Linked DNA regions of Schizosaccharomyces pombe. The protein of the gene in region 3 purifies or fractionates together with the protein of the main gene of each other region. This does not show direct contact. Each region holds a gene or a part of one and is shown on either strand. Other genes may lie near its edges.

Evidence for each region.
Region 1: the proteins of pre6 (region 3) and rpn8 purify together in Schizosaccharomyces pombe (affinity purification with mass spectrometry, with the first as the bait; one study listed by BioGRID). This does not show direct contact.
Region 2: the proteins of pre6 (region 3) and rpn501 purify together in Schizosaccharomyces pombe (affinity purification with mass spectrometry, with the first as the bait; one study listed by BioGRID). This does not show direct contact.
Region 4: the proteins of pre6 (region 3) and rpn11 purify together in Schizosaccharomyces pombe (affinity purification with mass spectrometry; 2 studies listed by BioGRID). This does not show direct contact.

The regions. Positions count from the first base shown.
Region 1 is NC_003421.2:386,861-394,319, reverse strand, and holds rpn8 (proteasome regulatory subunit Rpn8), read right to left. Parts: upstream 3,627-7,459; 5' UTR 3,574-3,626; coding exon 3,523-3,573; exon of another isoform or gene 3,479-3,522; coding exon 2,555-3,478; 3' UTR 2,228-2,554; downstream 1-2,227. Other genes in the region: ctl1 (choline transmembrane transporter family protein), read left to right, coding at 136-148, 186-1,245, 1,295-1,834, 1,886-1,997; ggc1 (guanine nucleotide transporter), read left to right, coding at 4,496-4,786, 4,908-5,002, 5,102-5,618; meiotic pumilio family RNA-binding protein Mpf2, read left to right, coding at 6,085-7,459. UniProt on the Schizosaccharomyces pombe protein: Acts as a regulatory subunit of the 26S proteasome which is involved in the ATP-dependent degradation of ubiquitinated proteins.
Region 2 is NC_003424.3:1,261,776-1,269,565, forward strand, and holds rpn501 (19S proteasome regulatory subunit Rpn501), read left to right. Parts: upstream 1-4,493; coding exon 4,494-4,577; intron 4,578-4,624; coding exon 4,625-5,872; 3' UTR 5,873-6,005; downstream 6,006-7,790. Other genes in the region: protein Mks1, read right to left, coding at 1-834, 880-985; chaperonin-containing T-complex epsilon subunit Cct5, read right to left, coding at 2,127-3,767; rsm22-cox11 tandem protein cox1101, read right to left, coding at 6,130-7,790. UniProt on the Schizosaccharomyces pombe protein: Acts as a regulatory subunit of the 26S proteasome which is involved in the ATP-dependent degradation of ubiquitinated proteins. Required for proper proteasome assembly.
Region 3 is NC_003423.3:406,022-413,387, reverse strand, and holds pre6 (20S proteasome complex subunit alpha 4 Pre6), read right to left. Parts: upstream 3,914-7,366; 5' UTR 3,893-3,913; coding exon 3,794-3,892; exon of another isoform or gene 3,734-3,793; coding exon 3,360-3,733; exon of another isoform or gene 3,331-3,359; intron 3,242-3,330; coding exon 2,935-3,241; 3' UTR 2,622-2,934; downstream 1-2,621. Other genes in the region: cys2 (homoserine O-acetyltransferase), read left to right, coding at 754-2,268; isopentenyl-diphosphate delta-isomerase Idi1, read right to left, coding at 5,711-5,937, 5,994-6,332, 6,397-6,520; SDA1 family protein, read left to right, coding at 6,967-7,366.
Region 4 is NC_003424.3:3,004,693-3,012,807, reverse strand, and holds rpn11 (19S proteasome regulatory subunit, ubiquitin-specific protease subunit Rpn11), read right to left. Parts: upstream 2,163-8,115; 5' UTR 1,830-2,162; coding exon 903-1,829; 3' UTR 501-902; downstream 1-500. Other genes in the region: glycine decarboxylase T subunit gcv1, read right to left, coding at 1-215; SPOM_SPAC31G5.21 (FAM32A family protein), read right to left, coding at 2,365-2,721; RNA polymerase III-inhibiting protein Maf1, read left to right, coding at 3,491-3,496, 3,550-3,648, 4,013-4,624; cAMP-independent regulatory protein Pac2, read right to left, coding at 5,963-6,670. UniProt on the Schizosaccharomyces pombe protein: Acts as a regulatory subunit of the 26 proteasome which is involved in the ATP-dependent degradation of ubiquitinated proteins.

The DNA.
Region 1 (7,459 bases), on a different chromosome or scaffold from region 3:
TGCCACAAAGTGCTACCATCTTCGTCATATAGATTTCAATGGAGAGGAATGAGTAACCCTTTGCACCCAACGACCAATTTCCAAAACTCCTTCAAATTGACTAGTAAAGTGATTTTATATACGTGAAGCAAATCTATGTTTAGCGATTGTAAGTAGTAATAGAAGAAAGTTACACTAACGAGTAGATGCTTCGCGTTTTCTTGCACAATCAAGATTCTCTTCTGTTGACCAGCGCAATTTTAAATATCCTACCTCAAGATCGAATCTTCAGAGTGTTAGCATAGACAGAAATAGCTCAATTGATAGTCATGAGACTGATTTGAGCGCCGGGTCTTCGAGTTTGCATGGTTTGAACTCCTTGATAGATTCTGGGTCTATCCATTGGCAATTACGAGAACAAGAGCAGTCAAACTCTCATATTTCAAGGAACGAAAACGAGTTATTTTCTAAAGAGAATTCTATTTACAATGGAAATTTCTCCGAAAATTTAGGTGTTCAACCGAATCCACAGACTATATCTCATGAAAGCGTAAATGAAGAATATACGGAATTACCTTATGATGCCCATCTTCCATCAGAACAGAAGGTTCCAGATCGAAAATGGGGATTAACATTTGGATTTTTGACGTTGGCTCTCTTTACCTATAGCTTCCTGATGGTTTGGCGGACAAATCCTAATATTCCTCCAGCCACTTCTCCTTACGCAGCAATACAAAAAGCATTTCCATTATTTCATAAAGATGCGATTATTTGTATGATGCTTTCAGTTATATGGCTCTTCTGTCTTGTCGCAATTCCTCGTTTTCTGTACTTCCTGCTAGCATCGGTCCCATTGACCATGTTTGCTTTTGCTGTCTACTTGTTAAAAGCGTCTAGGATCCACTTGGAAACGTCAATTCAACCAAAGTTGATGCTATTAACTGGGATAATTTTGCTTGTTGCACCCATTCTGCTTTCATATTATGTTTGGCGGCGTCGTATTCATTTTGAAACTTCCTTTAATATTATTCGGCTTGCTTGTCGTGTTATAGCTGATATTCCTCAAATCACTTTAATATTCATCAGCTTCTTGTTTTCGTTTTATGTTTTAATCTTTATATGGGTAAGATTGTTTGCCCGCTTATTTTTGCGCGGTTCTACCCTTGTTGGTTCTGTATGGGTTTTGCCGAGAAGTTCTTGGGTCTTGGCCTCCTTTTATTCACTTCATTTCTTATGGTTGTGCACATTTTTTCATGCTCTTCAATGGTATGTTATTATATTGCTTTGGCCGGATTTTTTACTAACACAATTGTAGCGCTATTATTTCTTCAATTGTTTCTCAATGGTTTTTTTATCGTGATACTAAGTCTTCGGCTACCAAAACCAATTTAGTTTCTCACTTTTTCTATCACGTTGTTTCCAATCAGTATGGTTTATGTGCCTTTTCTTCCTTTTTAGTTGTTATCACCAAAGTACCATTGCATTTCCTACCCACATGGCTAAGACACGTTTCGCGTATTGTATATTATATGTTTTCAAAGACGTCTGCTTCGTATGTCACATCTCCTCTTACCCTAGCATACGCATCAATTTACTCAGTCCCGTACATGAATGCGTCCAAGGCTTTGTATCAAATCGAACAATTGAACCGAGTAGGATTACGCCGACGTTCCTACTATTTTTCTAAATACACTTTGCTAGCCGCTCGTTCCCTCCTCGCTATAGGAGTTGGCGTTACTTCGTGGAATTATTCCATTCATGAAAATGGTGTCTTTTATGGCTACATTGTAGGACTTTTAGGCGGATTCCTTGCTTGGCTTATCATTGGCGCCATAGAGGGCGGCCTCAGCATGATGTGAGTAATTATATTTAGTTATCCTCGCGTAAAATACTAACTTTTTCACAGTGTGGATGCGTTACTTATATGCTCTATTATCGATATTTCTAGCTGCCAAGGAGATCCTAATGGTTCTCACTGTTTCGAGGCATGGCAGCTTTTTGAATCAAATGGATATTAAAACCAAAAATGCGAATTACTTCTTTTGCTGTTTTTCTGTTTCTTTTAACTTCCTTAGAACCTACTTTCATCAAAGAGCTCAAAGAAAGAGATGCTGGTCACCTGTACGCGTATCCCTATTCCCTTTTACTTCATTAATATAATGTCAGCCTACTTTTTAACATTGACACCTTGGCGTTTGCTAGGATTTCTTTTCATGAAAAGTTTTTTCTCAAGCTATCCATCATATCACTGTAAATTAAAATATGATATTTTGTATGCAATTTCTTCGTACTAACTTAAAATTACACTTTTATCCTTCGTAAATACAATTTAACAAACGTAGACATATCATTTTTAACATACAAGCAAATAAACCCGAACCCGACGTGTAACTTTTACAAGTTAAGAGGGTTACAAATATCTGCAAAACTGTCTGCGAAAAGACAAGATATAAATAAAAACTCTATGATACTTAGACATTGAAATAAAAAACCTACGTTAGATAAAGTCGTTAAATCTCAGAAAGAGGAGTCCACAAATGATAGAAGCCAGACATGGATAGTATGAATACAGTGATTAAGCCTTTTGTTCGGCATTAGCCGAAACTTCTCCATTTTGAACAGTTGGCTTTATGTCCTGCTGTTCCATAGCTTTACTAGCAGCCAAAGAATCCAAAAGATCATGAAGAGCAATCACGGCCCTCACGATGCTGGAAATATAAATGGACATCAACTGATCATTGGAATTCACATTGAAAGCACGTTGTGCCTCTGATTCCAAGGCCTGTTCTGAAACCACAGGACCGCTAAAAATGTTAGGCAAAAGATTAAACACACTCTGAAGCTCGGCAAGGATAGCATGATTTATAGGTAGTTGCCCATCCACGACTTTCCTTAAGTAATCTGCGATTTCAGTGAGACGCTGCCCAAGGCCTTGTAAAGATTGTGCCTGCTGGGTAACTCTTGTCGCTAAAGTACCAACGGATGCATCACGAGTATCACGTAACAAGTGTTCAACACCAATTTCCTCTGCTTCCTCTGCCTCTATACTGGAGGGTAGATGAACAAAAGTTCTGCTGGACTTAGAGCCGTCGTCTTCAATTTCATCAATGGCAAAGTAGGCATTAGTCGGAAGACCCACTGATTTGGGCTTTACATCGATAATGACAAGAACGGGATTGGGTATGTATTTTTTAAGTAAGTTGTTGATTTCCAAATCAGAGGGTCGGAGTTGTGGTCCAGTATGATACCAGCCAACTAATTTTTCATTTGCATTGATTTTTTTAAACATTTCATTCATTGATTCCATAAAATTATGGTCCAAAAACCAAACCGATGCATTCTTTTCATCTTCCTCAAATGGTATAGCATAACTATTGGCCACGTTTACAACGTCGCCATTATTTTGACCCAATAGAATACCAACGACCCGTCTTTTGGTTCCCTTGGCAGATCGATTATAAGAATCTACTGCTGACAGAAGTACTAATGGATGCACAATCTAACCAATGGTTAATAAAAAAGTTTCTCAAATTTTCTACTTACAACTTGCTGTGGGACGATTGTAGAGGTTTCAGAGCTCACTGCAGGAGGCATTATAACCGGTTTATATTAAAAATTTGTCTCTCACAACTTCAACTGTGTATGGCAAACGAAAGGTTGAAAGCGTGTAACCTCTCATCACATGCTGCAGCGGTTTCCTACTTACCGCAAGTTAAGACATAGTTCATTACAGAAATATTACGATACTTTCAAATGCCCAACTACCTATTAAGCGCTGTAATATAACAATGCTTTAAACAATGATCATTCCATTAGGCTACTAAATGGCAATTATATTACACTCCCTCTCATATGTAGAAAGGATTGAAGAGCTATACATTTAAATCATGTTAAACGTGTAATTGCACGTAATTTACTCAAATAAATTCTGAAAAGACATGGACATTAAATATTGAAGACATATCTTGAAACCATCTGCTCTTTTTTTAAAGAAATACTTTGCATATCAAATTACATGCTGGTATTTCGATTTGAAGCATAGTATATCACTTTTAACTACTTAATCAAACCGAAATACACGTGAGACGCATTCCAAAAGTTCATTAAATATCTGTTCGATGACTATATTTACGATGAAACAAGTAAAAGAAACTTTCAGTAAGAACGTTCTTAAAAGTTTTCGTCTGAAGCAATTGAAACAGTTAGAATTCAGATATTTTGTATGTCCACACGTTTCATCAAAGCCATATGCATGAGATTTTTTGCAAACTTACATTAATAGGATTTGTGTTTTTGGAATTATTTCAAACGTTTAAAAATATTAACAGAAAAACATAGATCACTATTTGAGAACAACGATATTTCATCTTATCTCTAAAACGAAGGCTATCAGTTCTTATCAAAAAATGAAAAAAATTTCAATAAAAGTTCACTACACTAAAATCCTTTAACTTTTCTTTTTCAACACAACGAAACTTTTTGGTTATTAATTAAATTTTTAAATAGATAGAGAAAGATGGCTCCTGTTCAGTTGAAAAACAAAGAGTCGCAAACCGCTCGAATTGTGGGATCAGCATCTGCCGGAATTCTCGAACTTTCACTCTTTCATCCTGTTGATACAATTTCCAAGCGTTTGATGTCAAATCATGGAAAAATTACTTCTTTAACTCAACTTAACACTGTAATTTTCAGAGATGCTGCCTCTGCTCCTCTACTCCAAAAGGCTACCTCTCTTTTTCCTGGTTTGGGCTATGCTGCTTGCTACAAAATTGTACAACGTATTTATAAATATAGCGGTCAACCAATTGTATGTTGTAGAGTACTTATACTGGTAGTTTAAAGCGTACGTTTTTTCCAAGCCTTGATGGCGGAATTAATGTATCGCAGTTGGCTTCAGTATACTCGTTCATCTTTACTAACATGTTCAGGTAAAAGACTTTTTGAATGAAAATTATAGACATACTTTTGATAAAACTTTTGGAAAGGGATCTGGAAAAGCCATTATGCATGCTACTGCTGGAAGGTATGTATCTGTCGAATATTTGTTTAACTAAGCTGAAAGCTTATGTTTAAGATTGTTGAAAAGGGAATTCAAGATGTGTATAGCTTACTAACTTTTCAGTATCGTTGGAATTGGAGAGATCTTCCTCCTTCCCTTAGACGTCCTGAAAATTAAGCGCCAAACCAATCCTGCAGCTTTTAAAGGTCGCGGTGTTTTCAGAATTCTCGCTGATGAGAAATTTGCGTTGTATCGTGGATGGGGATGGACTGCCGCCCGCAATGCCCCAGGTTCTTTTGCACTCTTTGGTGGTAACGCTTTTGCTAAGGAGTACATATTTAAACTAAAGGATTACTCTCAAGCCACTTTTTTTCAAAATTTTTTCACCTCAATCGCTGGTGCTTCTGCTAGTTTGATTGTCTCTGCCCCTCTCGATGTTATTAAAACTCGTATTCAAAATAAGAATTTTGATAACCCTCAATCCGGGTTTACTATTTTGAAAAATATGCTTAAATTCGAAGGACCTACCTCGTTCTTTAAAGGGTTGACTCCCAAATTGTTGACAACTGGTCCTAAGCTTGTTTTTTCATTTACCATGGCTCAAACCCTTATCCCCTTCTTTGATAAGCTTTTGAAATAATATGCTTTATTTCTTCATTTCAATGTTGAAATATTGTTGAGTGTGCTCTGTTTTTCTATATAAATAATTCATTGGGGTTGTAATCTTTTGAAAGACTTTACTTTTTGGTTCTTTTTGTTTTTGTCATTCAAAAGTGAAGAAAGTTTTTTTTTGAGACTGTTATTGATCTTTTACTTTGTAAAAATACTAACAAATATTTTGTTTTTCTTTTAATTTTTTTAGATATACTTGTCCTTAATCTACTTATTTTCTCAAATATTACTTCGATTGGTGTTTGTTTTGTTTATTTTGTTTGTTTCTGTTATTGTTTATTTTTCTGAGTGAACTTACCTTGGTAAACACTATTTGTTTTGGTTGGATATTTATAGCCTGGTGTCAGCAACTCTTCATCCACCAATATCCAATTTCCGAAAGAACAGAAAAAACCATATCCATTAAATATTAGTTTTTATTTATAGAGTTTATTATGCAGTCAATTGATTTAAGGCTACCTTCGACTTCTGCAAATCATTCAATCTCTGAATCGCTGGAGCATTCCAAGTCAGAATTAAATGAACTTTCAAATGTTAGTGAAAGCGAATCTTATTTCGATATTACAAAGAAACTCCATGCATTAAGCACTGTTGTTCAACGTCAACAACGAGAGATCGACAATCAGAAAAGAGATTTGTGTACCAAAACGAAACATATTGAAGAATTACAAACGCTCTTGTCTAATGCAAATATCATGTCTGATGGGGCTTCTTCTCAAAATGATGCATTTGCTCATAACCCATCTACCTCTGTTTCTGTAGAATTAGTTCGACCTGTTGTTGGGACTAAAAAGCATGCAGTATACGCAACTTCAGCTCCTAAGAGCATGTCATTGCAGGATTCTTTGTCTGTTCCTTCGGCAACTGCTTTGGCTGATGTTTCAAGTTCGTTGAATTATTCTCGAAAATTAAGTTCGAACAGTATTAAATCCACGAATGCTCCTGTATTTGGAACAGCAGTCAAAAACGTAACAGGTGAAAATATATTGTCTGCATCTTCTTCTGAGGAAAATTTGAACTCTAATAGAAACGGAGATCCAAAATTTCGTTTTTCAGTTTCACCATGGATATCTTCTTCGAATTTTAACCCTTATGAGGCTTCGTTAGCTAATTTCCAATCGGACAATTGCAAGCTAAAATCCCATAACTCATTACCATCGATCCGTACCAATGTTCGATATAGCAATTCTAAACCGTCAACACCATTATCTCCAGAGGATGTCGATCTTGGAACTTATACAGTTAAGAACCGTGATAGTTGGTCGAATGAAGTGAATCTCTCGGCATCCACAAATAACTTGAGTACGAATACGTCTGGCACGTTAAAGCCATACTCACTCAGCTCTTCTCGGAGTTCTTCGTACTCGAAAGGAGTAAATAGTGCCGCCAGTTTACAGTCCATATGGGAAACTATGAATAACTCGAACCCATCTGTCATCCCCGAGTCTACTTCTTCAAGAGAACCAGCTGCCCGATACAGAAAAATCTCTGAAAGGAATGCTGTATATGATTGGAATGTTATAATTGATAAAATTATTGTAAGCAATGATCAGCAATCTTCGATATTCCTTCAACAGAAGCTGAAAATTTCTTCTTATGATATGAAACAAAACATTGTTGATTCCATAATATCTCAAATCCATCCTCTGATGCTTAACCGCTTTGGGAATTTCTTAGTTCAAAGATGTTTTGAGCATGGCACTGCCCCACAAATTCGACAAATGGGATCTGCCATGTTGGGAAATATGTTAAAATTGGCAACAGATCCTTTCGGATGCCACGTTGTTCAAAAGGCAATAGATAATGTGA
Region 2 (7,790 bases), on a different chromosome or scaffold from region 3:
ACCCCCGAATAATACTTGTAGAATCATCAGGGGTTACAGTGACTTTTGATAATTTTTCTTTTTCGAGCTCTTTAGCCCGAGATGCAGCAGCGACTGCATCACTAAAAGACTTAGTGGGTTTTCTTGATTTATTTTTCTGAGCAGTTGAAGATGTATTTGTACTTAGGCTACCTAAATCGCTGGTAGACTTGACTAGTTGTATGGCTTTGGAAACTGCATCATTAACACTAGTAGATGATTTTTGCTGATTCAAAGGAGGTGCAGATGAATGTGTCTTAATCGACCGATCAGCATGCTCGTTTTCTGAAACGCTAACGTTCAAATAAGCTTGATCATCAGTCGAAGTATCAGATGAGTTTGAATTGGAAACCTTAGGTATAGTTTCCTTAGAAGATGGTGATTTATTTCCATGGAACAGGGCCAAATCCTTCATACTAGGTTTTTCCGGCGGTGAAAATGAAGAGATGAACTGACTAAATGCGTCTGTAGACAAAAGACGTGAGCTGGAACGTTTGGCTTGTGGCCTAACAATAGAGGAATGACTTCCACCCTTCATTGGCGCTTGCAAGCTAACTTCATTCACAATAGGAGCATTAACGGAAACATTGTCAATCCTGTTAAAGGAGTTTGAATCTACAACATGACCCGCATCCGATTCAACGGTAGAATTAATGGAATCGCAACTTGAAGAAAGATCAGGGACGGAAGATTCCTGGCAAGCAATTTGACAAGCATCATTAGCATCGGACATCATAGCTTCACGATACCACAGGCGCCAAGATATATTTTCTAAACGACGACCGTTTTCAAGGTTCTCAGCACACTTGGTAAAAACTAGAAAAAAAAGAGTTAATATAGAGCATCTGTTAACCACATTACCATTCCACATAGATCCCAGGCTATCCGCAGTTAAGGTACCCATTTTTGCGATATTTTCAGTTTCCAACGAGAGCATTGGGTTTGGGGAGACGACTCTTTTTGCCATTATGTTATGATCAACTGAATGAATGAATAAATTTGCTTTAAAAAGTGAAGGATACTTTTTTTTGAAGAAAAGCAAATGTGCTCTAAAAAAGTAGTAAAATCAATCGGTATAGTTGAGATTCTACAGCAAGCTCAACAAAAAGATGGAATGAGCTTTTATCCGATCAAACAGGACAGGAAAAAGATTTAAAACTCAGTACAGAAGGAACAACCGGTTGCTTTAAACAAAAGGAGGACAAACGAGAATTTAAAAAATGAGAATAGATCAACTAAAAAAGAAATAGTAAAGAAAGTTAAGATAATATCAATTGATAACTAAGAGGCGGGATACAAAAGAGAGATTTCAACGTATTGCAAACTTTTAATGAAGCTTCTTCCAAAAAAGGCAGTGACTTCGATAAAGCTCAAGCTCCTTTAATTTCAACTTCACGCTGAACTTAAAGGCAGTATTTGCCGTTTAATTACAGGATTTTACTGAAAATCAGCAAATCGTAGTCTTTTGATGTTCTTTTCTTTTGTGTGGAGGTTGGTTTGCTTTGCTTCTTCACCCCTCTTAAAAAGCGTCGGATTTGGTCCAAGCTACTACACTAAACCTCCTTATTTACAATGAAGGAAAGCAAAGGAACAAAGGTTGATGAATACATTAATCCAATACTAATGGATTTCTGTGCGAAAAGACTCAGTCTAGATTAGCGAGAAATGTTAGGAAAATATCCTCGCATGGCTCAATTAAGAAAACTGATATCATTTTGCCCAAACTCGGCTTTACAGGTGCTACCAGAAGCGTTTTTGCGGAAAAAGTAGCCGACGATTTCCGTCTTGAGCGCTGATGTATTTGGTCTATTTGTACAGCTTTATGGAACAAATCATAAACAGAGTTTAGTATAAAAATAATGCCATAAACAAGGTTAGAGTGTCTGAAGGCTTTGAAAAGCTCACAATCTCTGAGTAGGTAAAAATACTATTGAAACTGGAAATACGGACTCAATATGATGCTTAGTAGAAAAAATTTATATATATGCAAGAAATTTTTTATTTTGACATAAGTACACAGAATCACCATTTTATTCAAAAAAGCACATGCTTGCCGTATGAAATGAAGTAAATTAAATTTCCTTTAGCCGTGCGGATGAAAATGCCATTTAGTTATAGTCATCATCCTTAGAACCGGCAACGATAATATCGTTAACTTTGAGTACCATTCTGCAAAGCTGAGTAGCAAGAAGCAGTTGTTGTTTCTTTCCAATAAGAGGATCAATAACAAACTGCTTTCTCATATCATTACTTCCGGTCTGCAAACAGTCAATACCAAGATATGCCTTGTTTTCTTTTACATGACGAGCTTTAACTGCTGTAAGAGCTTCGATGGACGAAAGGCCACTGTTCTCCGCGAGGGCAAGAGGAATCGTGTCCAAAGCATCTGCAAATGCACCCATGGAATATTGATCAATACCAGGAATCTTTTCAGCTTCTTTGGTGACAGCCAAAGAGCAAGAAATCTCAGCAGCACCACCACCATACACTACTCTGTTGTCACGTATCAGATTACGAACGACACAGAGTGCATCATGCAAAGCACGTTTCGCCTCATCGACAATCATCTTATTGCTTCCTCGTACAAAAACGGTTACGGCTCGAGAGTTGGCACACTTTTCTATAACTAAAATCTTATCACGAGTCGTACCAAACGACACCTCTCTCACTATACCGGCTGAACCAAGCTTATCAGACGAAAGATCCTCAAATCGGGGCACAATTCGTCCATTTGTAGCAATAGCAATCAATTCGATTTCGGGACCTCCCACCCAACGTACAGCCGGTAAATTATTTTGAAGAAGTAGATGGTTTGCTTCATCATCAAAACCCCATTGACATATAACAAGGTTAGCTCCTGCGTCCTTTACATGCTTAATCATTTCCTGAAATTTTTCCTTCTCATAAGCTTGAAGGGCTTCAAATTCACTCACTGATGTTATGTCCAACTTATGCTTAGTTTTTGGCTTTGGTGGTTCAAAAGGGCAGGTTAAAATAGCAATCTTTGCATTTTCAATACGATGAGGCATTTGTGGATGCGACATGTCTTTGTCCACCACAACACCCTTTACAAGCTTTGTATCATCCACTGAACCACCAACCTTGCCATCTACTTTAATGAGTTCAAAATCAACATCTTTTCTCTGCAAATCAGCAACAGAAAGGACCGCGTCCACAGCAATGTTTGCAAAGTGATCATGAGCTTTGGAAACCACTTTACTACCCAAACTAGTCTTAGCAGAACGAAATAAATTAGTAGTGTTTTCGGGACTAAAGTCGACAACATCTGAAATAGCATCTAAATGTTTAACAGCCACCTGGCATGCCTTTTCGTAACCATCTGCAATCCTTATAGGATGTATACCTTTGTCTATAAGTGCCTCGGCCTGCTCCAGTAATGCACCTGCTAGTACAACAACACCAGTAGTTCCATCCCCAATTTCATCATCTTGAGATTTAGACAACTGAACTAACAGCTTTGCAATTTGATGTTCAACCTCCATTTGGTCGAGGATTGTAGCACCGTCATTGGTAACCGTAATCTCTCCATCTGGAGAGATTAAAATTTTATCCAGTCCACGGGGACCCAAAGAAGTACGCACAATATTAGCAACTGTTTTGGTAGCTAATATGTGACTTTTTACAGCATCAATTCCATGCAATCTTCTCTTCTTTTCCTGGTCACGTACTAAAATGAAAGGATTTCCTTGATCGTCACGGACCATAACAGCGTTATCTAGACCGGCCATTTTGCTCATCTTGTTATTGTGAACTGTCGATGCAAATGAATTTCAAGTGATAAAACTGAACGCTACACTAACCCAAATCCTTGAAATACTTTTGAACGATTTCACAAAGAACCTTATCTCTTACTTCCCTTTAAATCGTTGAAATAACTTGAGGTTCAAGCTTAGGGTGTATTCTTTAGAATGTCGTTGAAAGCACGTCTAATATGTTGCGGCCCTTCAGCATTTTACGAACTTCTATAGAAGAAATAAGCACTATATTTCACTAATGTAAGCTACGCAGTTTGGTATCTGATTTAAGGATACGTAGAACTGCGGTGAGTTTTCCTTGTGGTCTATTATATTACAATACACAGGTTGTATAAGTAGCAACTGAGTATAGGTATTGTATTAACTGAGTTATAATGTTACCTATCACTAATATAGCTCATAACTGAACTGAGGAACGAGGTTCAGTTGTAACGCTATTTATAATATTTCTAAATAGTTGTTATCAACGGGTATCTATGTATATAGACGGATAGTTACCCGTGATTATCAATAAACGGATCTTAGCTAGTATTCCAACATATGACATATAGTGATACGCAACGTAGTGTATCATAGCGTAGTGTACTATTGCTGACAACTAAAGTATTTTGCGAGCGTGCGTTACAACTCTGTAATCATAAGAAATCAACTCGCAATATTAGTCTCAATTGTACACTCTCCAACAACCCACATATCGAAATGGAACAGAAACCGGAAGTTGATTACTCAGAGAAGTTTGCAGAGTTACAAAAAAGTTTAAATAACCTTAATACCATAGACATCGTACGTAAAAATCAAAATTTTGACTAATCTCTAACTTGTAATTGTAGGATGCGAACCTCGAGAAGCTTTTGATTTTTGAGAAGCAAGTTCGTCAGGCTTCTGACACCAGCACGAATACGAAAGTATTAATATACATTGCTGATTTGCTCTTTCGAGCTGGTGATTTCCAAGGCTTAAACGAACAGTTGGTTAGTCTCTTTAAAAAGCATGGCCAACTGAAACAATCGATGACAAGTTTAGTCCAACATGTAATGACCTATCTTCCTGGAATTGACGATTTAAAAACAAAAATTAATTTGATTGAAACATTGCGTACTATTACTGATGGAAAGATATATGTGGAAGTAGAAAGGGCACGTCTTACACAACTGCTTTCCCAGATTAAAGAAGAGCAAGGTGACATCAAATCTGCCCAGGAGATCTTGTGTAATGAACCAGTAGAGACTTACGGATCTTTTGATTTGAAGGAAAAAGTTGCATTCATTTTGGATCAAGTTAGATTATTCTTACTGAGGTCTGATTACTACATGGCATCTACTTACACGAAGAAAATAAATGTTAAGTTTTTTGAAAAGGAAGACGTCCAGTCTTTAAAACTTAAGTATTATGAGCAAAAAATCCGAATTGGTTTGCACGACGATGCATATCTTGATGTTTGTAAATATTATCGAGCAGTTTATGACACCGCCGTGGTTCAAGAGGACCCCGAGAAATGGAAAGAAATATTAGAAAATGTCGTTTGCTTTGCCTTGCTTACTCCTTATGATAACGAGCAGGCAGATCTTCTTCACCGAATTAATGCTGACCATAAACTAAATTCTCTTCCTTTACTCCAACAATTGGTTAAGTGCTTTATTGTCAATGAACTAATGAGATGGCCCAAAATTGCCGAAATCTATGGAAGTGCTTTAAGGAGTAATCCTGTTTTTGCTGAAAATGATGAAAAAGGTGAGAAACGTTGGTCTGAACTTCGTAAGCGAGTCATCGAACACAATATTCGTGTAGTCGCAAACTATTATTCCCGCATTCATTGCAGTCGTCTAGGAGTGTTGTTGGATATGAGTCCTTCCGAAACAGAACAATTTCTTTGCGATCTTATTGCAAAGCATCATTTCTATGCCAAGATTGATCGCCCAGCTCAAGTCATTTCATTCAAGAAATCTCAAAATGTGCAAGAGCAATTGAATGAGTGGGGTTCCAATATTACTGAACTTCTTGGAAAATTGGAAAAGGTAAGACAGCTTATTATAAAAGAAGAAATGATGAATTCTATTCAACAGGCGGTAGCCAAATAAATTGTTCCGTCTCTATTTCATTTCGTTACTTTCATGACTTTGTCATTTAAATAATATACTATTGGTTCAAAGGCCTTCAACTTTTTTTACGAGAATACAATAGTTTTAATGTCGAATTGCAACCTCGGAGAAAGTTATTCTAGTAAGTTTGTAGTGATTTTCGTTGTTATTTGTCTCGTAACTAGAAGGTTAACTTGATGAATTATTTTAAATAAATTATTGTAGTTCACTCAATATGTAGTCCCTTAATTTTTATTTCAGTTGAGTTTAGTTAAAAGATTGCCATTGGTATCATATCTGGCCTCAAAAAAAGTATAGCTTAGAAGAATATCGTCAATATCCTTCATATTTGGATCATCAGCAAATTCTGGATCTATAAAGAAAAACACAGGCAAGTCTACTTTTTCATGAGCATCTAGCTTTTGCTCTTCAAAGCAAAAGCATGCAACCTTTGAGAAGTAAACAGCGGCTTGACCTGGTACTATATTATAAGTTGCAACTCCTACTATGTCATGGTCGGACGTATTTTCAGCAGTATAAAACCCTAGAGCAGTCTCGCCTGGAAGAACATATATTTCACGCTGCTGGGGCCAAAGCTTCCAGCTAAGGTTTCCTGCAACGTCGCCATTGAAAGTAACTCTGATTCTTTTATTGTCTTTACGAGGAACCATTCTTTCTGCATTCATACGACTTTGGTCGGTATTAAGAGTGCCACCATAACCTGTTTTCGAACAGAAAAGACGATATAAAGGTACAGCCGCATATGTCAAGCCCAACGCAAAAATGGAAATTGCAACCAGATAATAGATAGTGGTCCTTTGATTATAGTGGAATTTATCTCTCGAATATTGTCGTGAATATTTCCTGGTACCAGAGATGCAATTGTAACAGCTAAATGAAGTAAAAATACAAGGGAAACGATGTGAATTAAAGTCTGCAAATCGAGAAAAAGCTTTATGACGATTAGTCGAATAGAATCGTTTTCCGACAAAAATAGGATCTGCAGTTGTATTTCTTTCAACTTTGGGTTTATTATATGAGGGGGGATTGATTGAATAGGTAGAAGAAGCATCTTTTAAATGTTTAGTAATTTTACTACTTGGAGAAGTACTTTGAACTTTGCCCTCTAACGGAAACAAGTCGCCCCAAGCACTTTTCCTAGCTAATCGATAAGCTAGTTTACCTTGTGATTTAGGAACAATATTCCTTCTAAGCCGAGCATCGCTATCACAGACATCAATTATGACATGTCCATCTCGCTTCAGTGGAGGTCGAATTATACGTGGCCAGTTTTTAAGAGTTGGAGATGTAACATTCACATTTTCTAGTAAATCCTCATCATTCTTGAACCTTTGTGTGGTATTATTAAGCGGTCTAGTTATACCCTTTTGAATAACAACATAACTGTAATGAGAGCGATCCGAGGATCGACGATGAGAACGAGGGACATATAGACGGGAAAATGGGGATAGGAAAAAATGTTGTTTGAAAGAACAAATATTTGCTCTTACCCCATTTTCTATATCAATGGGGCAGCGACCATCGTGGGGACAGGGTGCTACAATATGGGCATTGAATTGTTTATCAGAAGTATTTTTACTTTTTTGCAATAGAAATGTTCTAGCTCTTTGAATCAAACTAAAGCCACGCTTTGTGCCTCGCTCGCAGAGCACCAAAAGACCACCATCATTTGACACGAGACTCCAAAGCGAACGAAGATAATCAAAGAGTTCTTTCTCCGATTTCATTTCAAGAAGCTTGTTAGATGCAATAACTAGAGTGTATGAATCCTTTTTACCCAATGGTAGACGGTTAAGCGTAACAGGGCTAGTTGGATTCGGCGAAGTTGACGGGTAAATGTTATGGTGAATATCATATATGATTTTTTTCAAAAATGGGTTCTCCTCAACAATTGAAA
Region 3 (7,366 bases):
ATTTACCGTTGTACAACGTACTTTGCTGAACGTATAGCGTTTCTCGTTAATCCACGCATGTTTATATCGACGCGTGCCAACTTATGCTTTCTCCACTTTCTATTAGCAACGCACAACAATACGCTGTCAATTCTCCATAATTTTTACTTAAAACAGAAAAGGAACCTTTATAAAAACGGAAAATGATATATATTATTTTTTTTCACTCGCGTCTTTTATCATCTTAACTCAAACATTTGCGTTTTCATGACAAATCAAGCCTATTTCCAATACAGTAAAATACGTTAAACATTAATACAGAACTTTTTGTATATCCTTATCTGGTTATTTTTTCCTTTTTTTTTTTTTATAAAAAAAAAATCAGATGTTACCTTTTTTAAAACATTGCCAAGTTAAGCGCCTGGCCATCCAAAGCAAACCAACTCAAATGTAGGAATTGATACAAACATCGAAAAATGTGCACTTTTAAATGTAGCGTTTAAGAATACCACGCTTACACACTAATATGAAATGTAAATCCGAGTTTACGAAATCTGCCAACTCCGGCGGTTTAAATTATTTAAGAAATTAAGGGGGTAACAACTTTACTAATCCTCCCCCCACATATTCCTAATGATGGAAAAACGGTATAGGAAAATTGCGACATCGGTATGACTGATTTGGTAATTGTGCTATAAATTTATATACGAGGGTTTGGCAGTTTTCCTTCATACTCGCAGTAGCGTAATTTACACCTTAAAATTTTTCACAAGGATGTTGAGAGCTTCCAGTAAGCGTTTACAACTATCTTGGCAAGTGTTTCGTCGCTTTCAAAGTTCGAACCCACAATTGTCATTTCCTTGCGTAGATCAAGCACAGGAGCGTAGCAGACAATTCGAGCAGTCTCTGCAAAAACAGCAGGCATGTCCTAACTCTGTAGACCCTAGCGCATCTATCACATCCCCGTCACTCTCTTCAGGTCCTGAGCCTGTTTACGGTAAAATTGTGTCAGGCTTTAAAAAATTTTACCACAACAAACCCTTCTTATGCGATCATGGTGGTATTCTGCCGAAATTTGAAATAGCTTACGAAACTTGGGGAACATTGAATAAAGATCATTCTAATGCGATTCTTCTACACACCGGTTTATCAGCATCTTCTCATGCTCATTCACACCCTGAAAACACGGCGCCTGGATGGTGGGAGCAGTTCATCGGACCGGGTAAAGATGTTGATACCAATAAATTTTTCGTTATTTGCACAAACGTCCTTGGCAGTTGCTACGGTAGTACGGGCCCATCTTCTGTTGACCCTGGTGATGGTAAGCATTATGCCACTCGCTTTCCAATCATCACTGTAAATGACATGATTAGAGCGCAGCTTCTTCTTTTGGACCATCTTAAAATCGAAAAGTTATACGCTAGTGTTGGTAGCTCTCTCGGCGGTATGCAATCTTTAACTTTGGGAGCATTGGCCCCTCATCGCGTGGGTCGAATCGCTAGTATTTCTGGTGGAGCTCGTTCTCACCCCTATTCAATTGCATTGAGATTTACTCAGCGCCAAATCCTCATGAATGACCCTTACTGGAATCGCGGTTTTTATTATGATGGTGTCCCTCCTCACACCGGTATGAAATTAGCTCGTGAAGTCGCCACTATTTCTTATCGTTCTGGTCCTGAGTGGGAGCAACGATTTGGAAACCGACGTGCTGATCCTTCGGTTTCTCCCGCTTTTTGTCCCGATTTTCTTATTGAAACCTACTTGGATCACGCTGGTGAAAAATTCTGCTTGCAATACGACCCTAACTCACTTTTATACATCTCAAAAGCTATGGACATGCATGATATGTCTGCCTCTCATCAGCGTAGTTTATCGGAGAACAGAAAGAAGAATCAACATAAACTAGACAAATACCTAAGTGCCGACGTTTCCGCTGAGGAAATAATAAAATTAAATGAAGATACAAGTGTATTACCTGACGTTCCTTATCAGGAGATAGCGAACGAAGACCGTGCTCCTGAACCCGATCCAGAAACGAATTTGATAGCTGGTTTGGCTCCCCTTAAGGATACTCCTGTTATGGTCATGGGTGTCGAAAGCGACAACCTTATGCCTGTTGAATGTCAACGTGAGACCGCTCGCTGTCTGGAAAAAGCCGGTAATAAGCAGGTTGTGTATCACGAACTTGATGCCAACGAAAGTTTTTATGGTCATGACACATTTTTAATTTACCGCAAAGATCTTGATTTGGTCGGTGGTAAACTGAAGAAATTTTTGGAATTATCTTAAAGTCCATAAAATTTCTTCTTTCTGCTTTATTATTTGCGACACTTCTAAGTCATTTTTTAATTTTTTTAAGTTTTTTTTGTTATAATGTTGAGTGCTTTGTCTTCAAGCTCGTAATATTTTTAGATTCTTTACCTTTTTAGGCGTTGAAGTTTTAGAGGAAATTGCCAAAAATGCGAACAAGAAACCCTTCAATTGAGGGTTTGTGGAAGGGATATAATGAATAGGCATTTAACAGTTATACCCTATTCAATTACTCAAAATATCACAAACCTGTGGTAAAAAAGTGCTTCTTGTTTATTCATGTTGTTTAAAAAGATTTCTAGAATCCTTTTGTAACTACCAAAGTTTCAGTATGCATTGTTAAAATTAATAATTTTTAATATACCTACTCACATTCTTGTAGCTAATATTTGTAATAATGAGTAATTGTGTCTTTGACATTTAACTAATCTTTTTGCAGGAAAATAAAAGAGGACTCGAAAACATATTCTCCTAATAAGCTTCATCAACACCGTAAATAAAAAATATCATTACAATAAAAGAGTTTTCATAAGTGATGTTATTATGAAAAGAGGGCTTCTCTAAACAAAAGGGAAAAGACATATGAACCTTATAAACAAGAAATTCTTAAGTCGGTTTGCATGTAATGAAATAAAAGAGGTATCATTATTGAATCGTAGAAGTTGTAGAGACTCCAGGGGCAGAACGGCCACTCTTTTTACGAGCAGCTTCAGCTTCTTTCTCATCTTGAATCTCTTTAACAATAGTGTCTATTTTATCGGAATGCAAGAATTCTACATCTTTGCCTGGATCCATGATGGCCAACTCAATGTTTCCAGAAGCGGTTTGAACTACTTCTAAAAGACTGGAAACGGCGAGGTGAATTGTCTCGTCGCGAGATAGTCCTTCTTTCCAATTTTTTTCAAGATATTCACGAGCAGCCTTACTAGCACGGCCGATTGCAGTGGCTTTCCTATATTCTTTGTTAACAAATTGGTCTTAGGAAGGAAGAAAGCAAAAAAAAAAAAAAAAAAGCATCCATAAAGGTAAACTAGCAATGCTGATTTTACAGAAACATATAACGGACATACCATGCATTATAGATACCAGCAGGCTCTGTCTGGTAAACCCGTGGAGTGTTATCACCAACGTCGAATCCAGCAATAAGGGTAGAAACACCAAAAGGTCGTACACCACCAGATTGAGTGTATTTTTGCTGAACACCAGCGACATAGCGAGTTAAATACTCAATAGAAACAGGATCTGCCAAATTCAATTTATGGTTTTGTGCTTCAACACGAGCTTTATCAATTAAAATTCTAGCGTCGGCATTTAACCCTGCAAATGCTAGACAAACATGGTTATCAACCATAGCAATTTTTTGGAAATTAGAAACGTTTTGAAGTTTAGGAACATTCTTTCGTTCAACACCTATTACAATACACTCATTTCCTCGAAGAGCAATCTGTTAATGATATATGTAAGCAATTTATTCCATCCAATTCTACTCTGGTTTACAACGTACTGCAGTGGTACCACGGCGGACTGCTTCTTGTCCGTATTCTACTTGAAGCAAGCGTCCATCTGGTGAAAAAACGGATAATGCACGATCATATCCCGACATGGTGAATTCTTGGTAATCTGTAGGTTTCGCTTTGCTGATTTCGAACTAGTAAGCAATTAGCGTCGTGGTTAATGCTGTTTAGTGCGTTGCGGTGAAGTTCGTATGTGGTTTATGATGAATAGTGGGTAATTTTAGTCTCGTTAATTATAATATAAAAACGTTGGACTTTTTAAGCAAAGCATTTTGGATTTAGGTAAAAAGTCTCAATCCTAGTATGAATGTTCTATATATTTTTCTTAATTAAAAATTATAAGTTAATATGTGGCTGTCGCCATTTGTCTCCATATCATAATGACCATTGAGAATAAGCACATATAGTGCCAACACTTACATATTCACTGAAACTTTATTAAGAGTCTATATAACTGTATATAATATATATATGTAAATTTTTTTTAGTTATCACGCAAGAAATATGGATCAGCCTCTATTGTAGCACTATTGTAAGTTGCAAAGACTTTGTTCCAAGAATAAATATTATTGAAAATAAATTTATAAATTTTTTTTTTTAACATATAAAATCAGCGTTATTGTTTTATGATTAGTAAAAGAATTAATAATTAATGGTAAAATAATACATTCTACTTTCTTGGTTACAGAGGACCTTTAAGTTACGAAAGTAAGTGAATTTAGGAAATATTAGGCCAAACATTTATGAAATAAACCCCATCTTTTTTGAGATCTAAATCAAATGAAAGCTAATCAATTAATAATCCCACAATTGTAAGATTTGATCTAGCTATGTATATAAGTCTGACGAAAAGAAAAAGTCAATAAACGGACTACTTCGCTTAAAAATAGACTTAAAAAAGCGAAACATCTCATATCTTCATAAAACATATGATAAATTAAAAGAAGTATTAAATTTTTTAATATTAACTCTTTTTTTTAAATAAAAAATTTCTTTTACTCAGAAACATCATAAATTCAATTATTATATCTTTAATAGCGAAATATTGTTCCAGTTTTTTCTCACGGTTGAATCGCGATTTACAATTATGATAACAAATCAAATAAATTCTATTTACGTACGAATAAAAGGTTAACGATTGTCAAATATTAATTAGAAATTTTATCAGTTCAAAAAATTGAAACCAGGTAGTTCCTATTACCACATTACTGTTATTTAGTATAGTTGCATGCAGAATATAGCTCCCATTCTTTTTTAAAATTCGGGGTTTCTTTTATAAAATGCTGAGCATCTTTTTTACTTTCAAGCATCAAATTTTTTTTGATGTATTTTACTTTCCGTAAACAATAGTACTCCAATATAAACTGATTAAAGTAACTTGTACGGTATAAGATTTAAGCATTTGAAGGGAATTTTTGTGCGAAATTGAAGCTTGATGTTAATGTTGGTAAATGTAGTGTCAATAATAAATAAATAAATAAACTACATATATAAAACATGTGTCGCAATGTGGAAAACAAGGTATAACCCTGTATCCTTAATATTTTTGAATTTACAGTTTTTATTTATTAGAAAGGATAGCATTCAAATTTTTTTAATAAACAAACAAAAAAATTTTTAAGAGCAGCCTTTAAAAATACATTTACGAATTAACGGTTCATTTACGCAACAAATAAAAAAGATAAGAAAATTGTATTTACAATATGCTCTTGGAGACATTGATGAAGTAAAAAAACTGAAGCAAAAATTTAAAGAACGAAGAAGTGTGGTGCAAAGAAATTTGGAACATCTAATATTAACTTTTCCACCCAAACAAATGTATGCTTTGAGCAACAAAAGGAGAAAAAGGAAGCCATACCACAATTCATAGCTCTATTTTTCTTTATCTCTGGTAAAATTTAAAGACTTTAGCAACGATGAATTAAGGTATCTTGGAATTTTGACGCATGATCTACATCCTGCCACCATTTAAACATAAAATGCTCACAAATAAGTTTGAACCATGGTGTGAATCCATATTGAGGATCGGAAAACATCTCTTTTAACTCTTCCATAGTAACATACTTATAGGCTTGAACTTCATTGGGATTGATATCCAGCTCAACTTTACCTTTGAAGAAAAGAATGTAGTCAACTAGAATGTCCGTTAGTCAAGTGTTCAATAAAGAGAAACACGGATCAACCACATACTTTCATGCTCTCCCCAAGCACCAGTACTAGGAGCAAGGTAATGGATTCGTGTAAGAAACTGAAATTTGTCTTTGGGAATATACTTGGCTTGAATACCCAATTCATGGAACAGCTTGCGTTGAGCTGCATTCTTAACACCTTCAACAGCTTCAGGTAAAGTATTACCACGTTCACCAGCAACATCCAATGGGTGGGAGCAACATGTATTCGTCCATAAGGATGGAAATGTAATTTTCTCTTCTGCACGCTGCTGAAGTAAAAGGCGATTTTGCTCATCAAAGATGAACATAGAGAATGCTCTATGCAAAAGACCTTTATTTATATTTTCCATCAAATGACCTAAAAGGCTTGTTAGAATGGGTTTCCTTCAATTTCATTATAAATCTCCAACAATCAAACATACACTCCTTTTTCGTTCCATATCTTAAAGGGACATCATTTTCATCTACAACGATACAAACTTCTTCCATCAACCTTAATTGTTCTTCATCATAATCCTTTTTCTCTTGTTGGGAACTCATAATCATAAAGTAGGCAAAGAGCAGGTACTTTATCGCTGGTGCAAAATATTGCTTGTCTATAACCAACCACAACAACACTAATTGGAAAACAAGTCTGATTCACTTAAAGCAAGAATTTTTTTCTTTCTGTTTGTTTTCCTAAAGTTTACATAAGTATTATTGAAAATTTGCTTCTTAGCTTAAATTTCTACCGTTAATTTTTTTGTTTCATTTTTCAGTTATAAATTGTGATTGCAATATCCCATTTACTCGTCTATCACTTTTTTTAATAGAATTGATTAATACTTATTAAAAATAAGCAGTCTATATTGCTAGACCTGGGCTTGCTGGTTGTTTATTATATCCCGGTTAAAAATTTTTTTAAGGGCTTTTTTCGCCTGTTACTGGTATTGCTACACTAATTGATTATTTGTACTAGTTTATGATTTATATTTTCACAAAGATACATTAATATGGTGAAAAGACGCACTGCTGCTGTTTTACCTAACAATCTTCCTCATCTACAACATCTGGTCAAAAAGGATCCAAAATCCTACAGAGAAGAATTTTTGCAGCAATGGAATCACTATGAAACCGCGCGCGAAATTTTTCTTGTTAATCCATCTTCAGACATTTCCGAATTTTGTTCATTAATCGATTTCATTTCCCAAACTTGTAATTATTATCATGATGTTACTGCCGACTTTCCTAGCGAATTAATTGAGCTATTACAAAAAAACCACACAATATTCCCTTTCGAACTTTGTGAAAAAATCGTTTTATGCCTTGTTCTGTTAAAAAATAAAACAGTAATATCTCCTATTACATTACTACAATGTTTTTTCCCGCTTTTCCGTGAAAATCCTACTCGTG
Region 4 (8,115 bases), on a different chromosome or scaffold from region 3:
CTTACATCAAATAAGCCAGAATGCTCCCGTGTCCACTTATGACTGGCACTAATGGTTTGACCTTTATACTGTACTGGCATTGAAAAACCAGCAAAGGGGACTATGGTAGCTCCTTCTTTTAAATGCAGATCATATAAAGGAGTTCTCTTGAGTGAAGAAGAAGCTGCCGTAGAACTTTGGCGCTTTAAGATTGATAAAGCAGCAGATCTATTCATTATGAATTCAAAAAACCAGTTAAATATTGGAGCAAGTCTTAAACGTTGAAAATAAAAAAGAAACCTTGTTAAACTTCTTAATAAACAATTGTTTGTTGATTCCGTAAACCAACATACGTTAGTGGTTGGCAAAGGTTGAAAGATAGATAGGAATACTTGACAAGTACAATATCATGCTACATCAAAAAATCATATCACGCTAAAATGTCATATAATAAATTAAGTAGCCTCAGTTATACCTTTATGTATTCAACTTCAATGGTTTGACGCTGATCGACGATCCTTACAGGTACATTACAAACAATCAAGGAAACAAAATTTTTAACATGTTGGTAGAAGATGTTTACAAATTCAATAATTGAAACAATTTTTTCTTATTGGGAAGAAGCTTGAAAGACTGGTGTGCAGGTATATCTTAAGGATCTATGAAAAAAAATATATAAGAATCCATCAAAGCAAACGCTCGCAATCTCAAGAGCTTACCAAAATATCATCAATCATACTCCACGATCATGTAAAAAGTTTTAAAAAAAATGTACTCCTAGTCACGAATATGAAATCGTAAAAAAGTAGTATCAGATTCGACCAACAGGATTATTCAAACAGTTCATAAATGCTTTGAGTAAGGAAAGAAAGTAGCTCATAAAAAACGGATGATGGAAAAGAGGTATTACCAAAATAGATGTACTAGAAGGCAACGGAATCAAGCATACAAGCTAACATGGAAGAAATATTGTTGTCTATACATTTCTGAACCTCAGCGTCAAGATGCTTCTTGGGATCTTGTTTACCAACGTATTGAATACGAAGTTGCTCCGGACTTAAAGTCACTTCATTTTGAACACGTTCAGTGTACTGTTCTGACAAGGATTTCATCTTATCAATAGAAGCATGATTTTTTTCCGCAGCAGAATTAAAGTTTTCAAGTAAAAGACCATGTGCCCAAGGCTGTTTGTGTAAATTCAAAAGCATGATCTCTTCAAGCTCAGTTTTTTTGTAATTGATGCGAAGGGAGTAGTAATGTCTTCCTAAACCGTGAATTAAAGCTTGAATGCTAGGTTTGTTGATGTGACCCAAATTGGAAGTTGTTTGTCTGGGTTCCTGACCCATCATTAGGGTAGACGGATTAATCAATCGAAAGGCGTCAATTACCACCTTTCCTTTGACAGATTGAATAGGGTCGACAACAACTGCCACCGCTCTTGGTGTTAATTGCTCAAATGATTGTTGGGTGTTGATATCGACACTAGAAAGCCAACAACCAAAACCCGGGTGAGAATGATACCAACCTACAACCATTTCTGGCCGTCCTGTTTGCTTAAGCATATCCATCATATTTTTTTGGAAAACTGGATCGACTGCTTCTACACTGACACCTGTACCAGATTGAGGCATTGCAAAAACATCAACAACACGTACTGTAAAGTCATCAACGAATTCTCCTAACATCAAACCCATAACTTCCATTGGTGTACCATGTCGCCCATGACGAAGCATTTTTAACAAAGCTAGAGATGAAATGTATACACACTCGGAATTATCAACAAGAGGCTGATCTCCCATCATACCAGTACCCATGCGGGCACCTTGTAACAATCTTTGTAAAGATTCCATCGCGAAAAATATGACTCGTATGTATGTATTGAAATATGAGAGTTTATCAGTATCAGTGGGGTTCCTCTCAAATAACCGCAAATAAAAGTGTAATTGGAGATTAAATGAGAAACTCAGTATAAGTATTTAAATAAAGTTACCAAAACGTTAATGCTGTTCACTGATATTTAGTAAGACGACAAAAACAATCAAAGGTCACTATAATGTGCTTGTTCTTCAAAGGAAGTTCTTTCTATATGTTTCAACCACTATACAAAACGAATATACAAGATTCTATGTCTTTGGTCTCACTTAGGCAGCTAGTATACGTTTACGTGGTAGTTGGCTATAAACAGGTTTTTTCTAGAGACAAATGAATAGCTATAACAATAATGAGGTATAATGCGTATTGTTAAAATAAAATAGTGATTTCATTAGAGTGCGTAATTCATAAAAGAATATGGTAGGTGGATGGAGAAAAACTATGCAGAATAGAGGAGGCATCCATTGCTATTTAAGTATAGCTATTGAGAGAAAAAAGGACGTGTTTTGAAAACTAGCCGGGTCCAATTTTAGGCATGTCAAAATGCTCCGACTGACTTTCCAGTAGTCTATTATACTCATCAATCCTGTCTTTATGTGTTTTCAATCGCTCATTCTTTGCTTTCTGAAGTAATCTTTGTTCCTGAACAGACTCAAAATGTTTCTGTGCTTCCGTCATCGGCATAGCCGAGTCTGTATCCTTTGAGCGAAGCATTTGGTACGTAGATACGCCATTTTCTTCTAAAGGTGATTTATCTCGGGAAGAATGCTCTTGAACTTTTTCAGCAAGTTTTTTAGAATCCTTCTTTTTCTTTTTCAAAGGTTTTTTTTTTACATTTTTCAGTTTTAGAGAACCACCAACGTAGTCCATAGTTCTTGGTAAAGGTAAGTTGGTGTAAGCAAAATGTTTGAACTGTACGATAAGAGGTGAAACAGTTTAATACATTTTACACTAGGAATTGAATTTAAAAATAAAATAAAATAAATATAATTTAATAGTAAAAGTGTAATAAGTAATACAATAAAAGAATTGATGTATGTTGTGCAAGTTTATTAATGGGCTCAATTTAAAAAAAATATGTATATATATGTACAATTTCATTGTACAAGTATACTCTAGAAGCGACGATTATTCATTAAATAAATTATTATTACTTTTTTTTTGGTTAATAATGATACTTGAACCGTTTCTTTTAAGAATTGTAGAAAAAATTGAATATTGAAAAATTGAGTTACTCAATGCTCATCAGAAAAATACGGAAAAACTTATAATCGATATTTTTAAACTGATTTGTTTTTATTAGACTCCTTTTAATTACTTAAAATATTTATTTTTATGAATAAATAAATGCATTTCGACTTGGACTTTAACACATTATACGGTTAAGTACCTTAAAACAGCATAAAAAAATAAATGGCAATGCATCGGGATGGTTTCTCAAATATATTAAGCTTCGGTAAAATGTTGAACCGACATCTAACAAACTCCTTACGCTTACTATTAGCTTATAGTCTGTTATTTAAGATTAACGTACCCTTAATAGAAGTGACATTGACGTTGGACGCGACGCTGATACCTAACCACAGCAAACCTCTTTTTAATGAAAGGAAACAATTGAATTGATTACATTACAATTACTATGAAGGTAAATATATTTTACTTTTTATTTGTCTTACTAAACCCTGTTTTTGTGACCAGTTTCTTGAGCTTGCCGATTTAGATACAGTCAATAATGCCTTATCATTTGATGCCGATGATTGTCGCATACGCGGAAAGTGCGAGCTCTATACAACCAAGGTAAATTTAACTTGTAAGCTTGGTTAGTCTGGTAAAGGGAAAATTGTACATTGGTTCTTGAATTTGACATATGCTTTTAATAATGATCCTCTTTTCTTGCGTGGTCAAATCACTAAGTTGAACAATTTTGGTTCTTTTTGGTCTCTTGTACAAGATCAGCTAATTATATAATCATTGTTTTTTTTTGTGATTATTTATTTAGTTTCTTTACGTTTCAAATCTGAAACCAAAATGATTACGATTGTTGTTTACCAAATGGAGTACCGCGTCTGAGTGTCTGTTTTTAGATTCGGGAGCATTCTGCTTTATTAACTTACCAAGACATGAATATACTGATATATAAAATGTGCTAACAATTTTATAGAGTACAAATTCTGACAAGAAACTCTTTAAAGCTATAGAGAATCGGTGTCAGGAGGATCTATTTGCATTATCGAGTAGTAAATCACCGGAATATGCTTTCAGCCTAACTCAGCAAAGTCCATTTGGGCCTCTTGATCAGTCCTCTTCTCGTCGTACCTTTATGTACATTGTCGCTACTCTTAATGCCTCTTATCCCGATCATGATTTTAGTAGCCTCCAACCAACAGATTTTTACAAAGAGCCTTCACTATCTCGTGTTGTAGATTCCGTTAATTCTACACTTAATAACATTGGTCGTGGTAGATTGAGTGTGAATGGAATTTGGGAAATTATCGACCGTCATATCAACCTGTCTGATTGCAGCGTTTATTCCTATACTCCAGATAGCGACAGCGATCCTTACGGCGATGATGCTTTAATATGGGGGATGTCCTACTTTTTTTTTAACAAAAATATGAAGCGCATGCTTTATTTATCACTTCATGGTTTGGGCAAGGAAGTCTCGGGTCGGAATCGTTATGGAAATGACGATGATTCTGTGTTTACACCACTTGCGGACGATGCAGAGCCAAGCGATTTTGATGACGATTGGGTTGCTAACATGGATGATTAATTTTTTGGTTATTTGGGAAGTAATGGTTTCTGCTACTTTCTCTTTTTCTCTCTTTACATTTTGTTCAACTCGCAAACTAAATTGCACCGTGCTCATTTTATTATTTCAGAATCATGACTTTTCGAAATTTTCTTGTTTTTTCTAATTGTAAATACATGAAACCTCACCTTTCTTTAATATCTCCCTGTTAATTAGTTTATTTCAAATTATTTATAGCAACCCTTTCTTTTTTGCATTTTTGAAAAAAAAAATATGCCCCCAGCATTTTAGGTACTTCTTGTTTTTTGTTTTTTATCCTTTAAGGAACCTATTTTTTCACATGTGATTTGTACGTTAAGATTTTCCAGACTGTACTACGGTTTCTACTCTCTTGCAACACACGTGTTTATACATAATAGATTAAAAAATTTCCAACAACTGTTTCATAGGTTTGTACATGCAATTTGACCTTAGAGGAAAATTTTTTAATCTGTCCTCATTAATCATCTGAGCCTAACTATCTTTAAACGTTCACATCAAGTTCCCGAATATTTGAAGCCTTATTAAGCATCATCTTGACATAGCATAATGATGTATTCAGTTATTCAATTTAAAAATTACCTTTTCTTTGAAAATACTTCATTTACAACAAATAAAAGCTATGCATTTACTTAAAAGATAAAGAATTAATTTCATAGTAGTTGTATTTAAGGAATTCAAATTACCCTAAGAATTGATGCTTTCCTATCATTTTACCCGAACATGAGCTCTAAGTTGAGTAGTAAAAAATAGAAATGTTGAGTGCATAATTCAAATGTTGAATACTTGTTCTACCGTGCTTCATGATAGACGTTTACTTAACCATTTCCATCATGAAAAGAAATAAATAATAAAGAGAAAAAAGGAAGCATTGATGAAATAACCACAAAAGATTCTTTAAAAAGGACATTTCCGATATTCGCAGACGAAACAAAATAATGCGTAAAGCGAAATGTCTAAAGAGTTATGATAACGATACACATCTAAACCGACGAACAGAAAACGTATTTGCAAGACAGTTGAGCGATTACTTAGTTAATGAATTAAATCAAAACAAGCTTTCTGTTTTTATCACTTGCCGTAAGTGCTGAAGAATGAAGTGGTAACTTGAAATTAAAATTGATCAACCACATAAATTAGACGCTGATAGACAAAGCCGCAGATTAGTAAGAGCGAAAACGCAGCCGAGAAAATGTCACAGGAAACTAGGATTGATTGGGAGTCGTTAAAGCCCCATATATGATGCAAATGAAATCTATAGTAAATTTAGTACACTTTTTAACCGAGAAGTAGGACCCAATGTGAAGAAAAAGATCAAACCTATAGCCATAGGGCTTGACGCAACTTATCCAAAACGCGCGCGTCTTCGCTACAGGCAACTTTCTCGACAAGAATATCATAAGGAGCGAGAAACTTTGGTGCTTGAACAAGCGGTGGACCCGCGTCTGGATACAGTCCATATGGAATAGTGATACGTGAAAGGTTAACATCACTACTTGGCGTGACTAATGAAGGATCAGGGATAGGCGAAGAATAGGAAATAAGGTGAAGTTTATGATTTAAGGAGGTAGTAATACTAAAGGACTGCTTAATTAAGCCGTTCGGTTTGTAATGCAACCCCCGTAGGTTCTCATCATCAACCGACTCTTCATCACTCAAGCTCGCGGCTCCACTGTCCTCATTGCTGTAAGCATTTAGGGAACTATTACCAGTCGTATCTGCAGAGGGAGAGCGTTTAAGGGAACCATCGGTGGAAAGACCGTGATGGTAAGGTTTACGTTTACCCTCCATTTCTCGGTAGGTTAAGAATGAACCGCTGACACGAGAAGCACTCCATGATTTACCATCAGTCCAACGGCGCATTCCAGCTTCCCGTTCATCCCACACAAAAACACTGCCTGCTCGTATCAAGCTTCTTTCATGGTCGGACAATCGACGCTGGACGCGTGGAAGAAGACCAATTCGACAGGCCTCGAAAAGGATAATCGCATCCAACGGGGTCTTAATGATACCTGTATAAGTTTGCATGACGAAAGGCAAAGCCGATCAGATCGTAGTTTGAAGATGAAGTAAAATCAGAAAATAGCTGTCACGAAGATTCAAAAAAAAAAGCGCACTGGATTAGTTACCAATGCAAAGATCAAAAGAATCAACTAACGAAGCTCGGATTAAAGAGAAATAAAATAAATAGTTTTATAAATATAAGTAGAAGATAAGTTGACTGTGCGTGTATATATACAGCTTGACCGATAAATGGGTAGTCGAGTAAGTATACAGGAATGGAGACCTTCAATAAATTATGCAATTCAGTCCGAACGAACGCAAGATCTTAGGAAATTCAAGCAGGGAAAAATTAAATCTAGATATTATCTTCAAAGAAAATTCAGTTGCAAGACTAGCCGATTTGATTACCTTTTAGTACTTTCTAAAAGAAAATGAAACAATTAAACGGCAGGGAGAAGCAAAATTCAGAAACAATGAAGGAAAGTAAAAATTATTTAATAAATGATTTTCTTTCTTTTTTTAGGGAGTTATAATAAATATTATTATTCGCGGTTTCAACTGATCGTCAAAAAAACACCCAAAAAAAACAGACTTGACCAAAAAAACTTCCAATCAAGTATTAAATCTTTACAAACCCAATAGCTCACTTGTATGTTAAAAGCAAAGAAATTTAAATTCAGCTTTTTTAACAATGCTCAAGGTTGAAATTTGGCAATAAGAAACGTCACAAATAGTTAAAAATGGAAACAGTCGAAAAAATCAAGATAGATCAAATTTTTTTCTCAATGAAAAAATTAAACGAATCCGTTCACTAAAATAGAACACCTTTCTACACCGGTTCTCTAGTTGTGGTAAAAAAAGGTCCCTAAAAGTTCTTTGCAAAGGAAAAAGCTAATGTACGACAAGGCAAAGTAGCTGTTCTTTGGTTTACAATGCTTCAATCATACAACCGGTACAACTTCACTTGCTGTTAGTTTATACACAAATTTGCTTAATTTAATTTTGTTGTCCAACCTTTTTATTCGTCAAAAAGACGCTATTCGAAGGTGACAACGTTTTGCTGCTTAATGCAACACTGCGGTTGGTGAAGGAAAAGTTGAGTCAAGTAGGTTGAAAGATAGTTTATATGTGCGAGGCTTCGGTTATGTTAGCGAGTTAAATTTTTAAAACTCAAAAAAAACCTAATACGGTAAATATTCCGTAAATCCCTTACCCAACGCTAATCCCGATAGTTTTAGGCTGGTCTAACAATTTAATAAATATAATTATTTAGTTTCCGCTGCTAGATAAGATTCAAGGTAAACTTTTTCCCCAACACTGTTGATACGCCTTTAATGATCAACAACAAGATTACTTTGATTATCAAGTACAAAGTACAATGGAATATATTTTCAATCCAACAACTGCGTTCAAAACCAAAACCTGCCTTTCCAATATTTGAATTTTGTTATTCTTTAGTAGGGACCGGT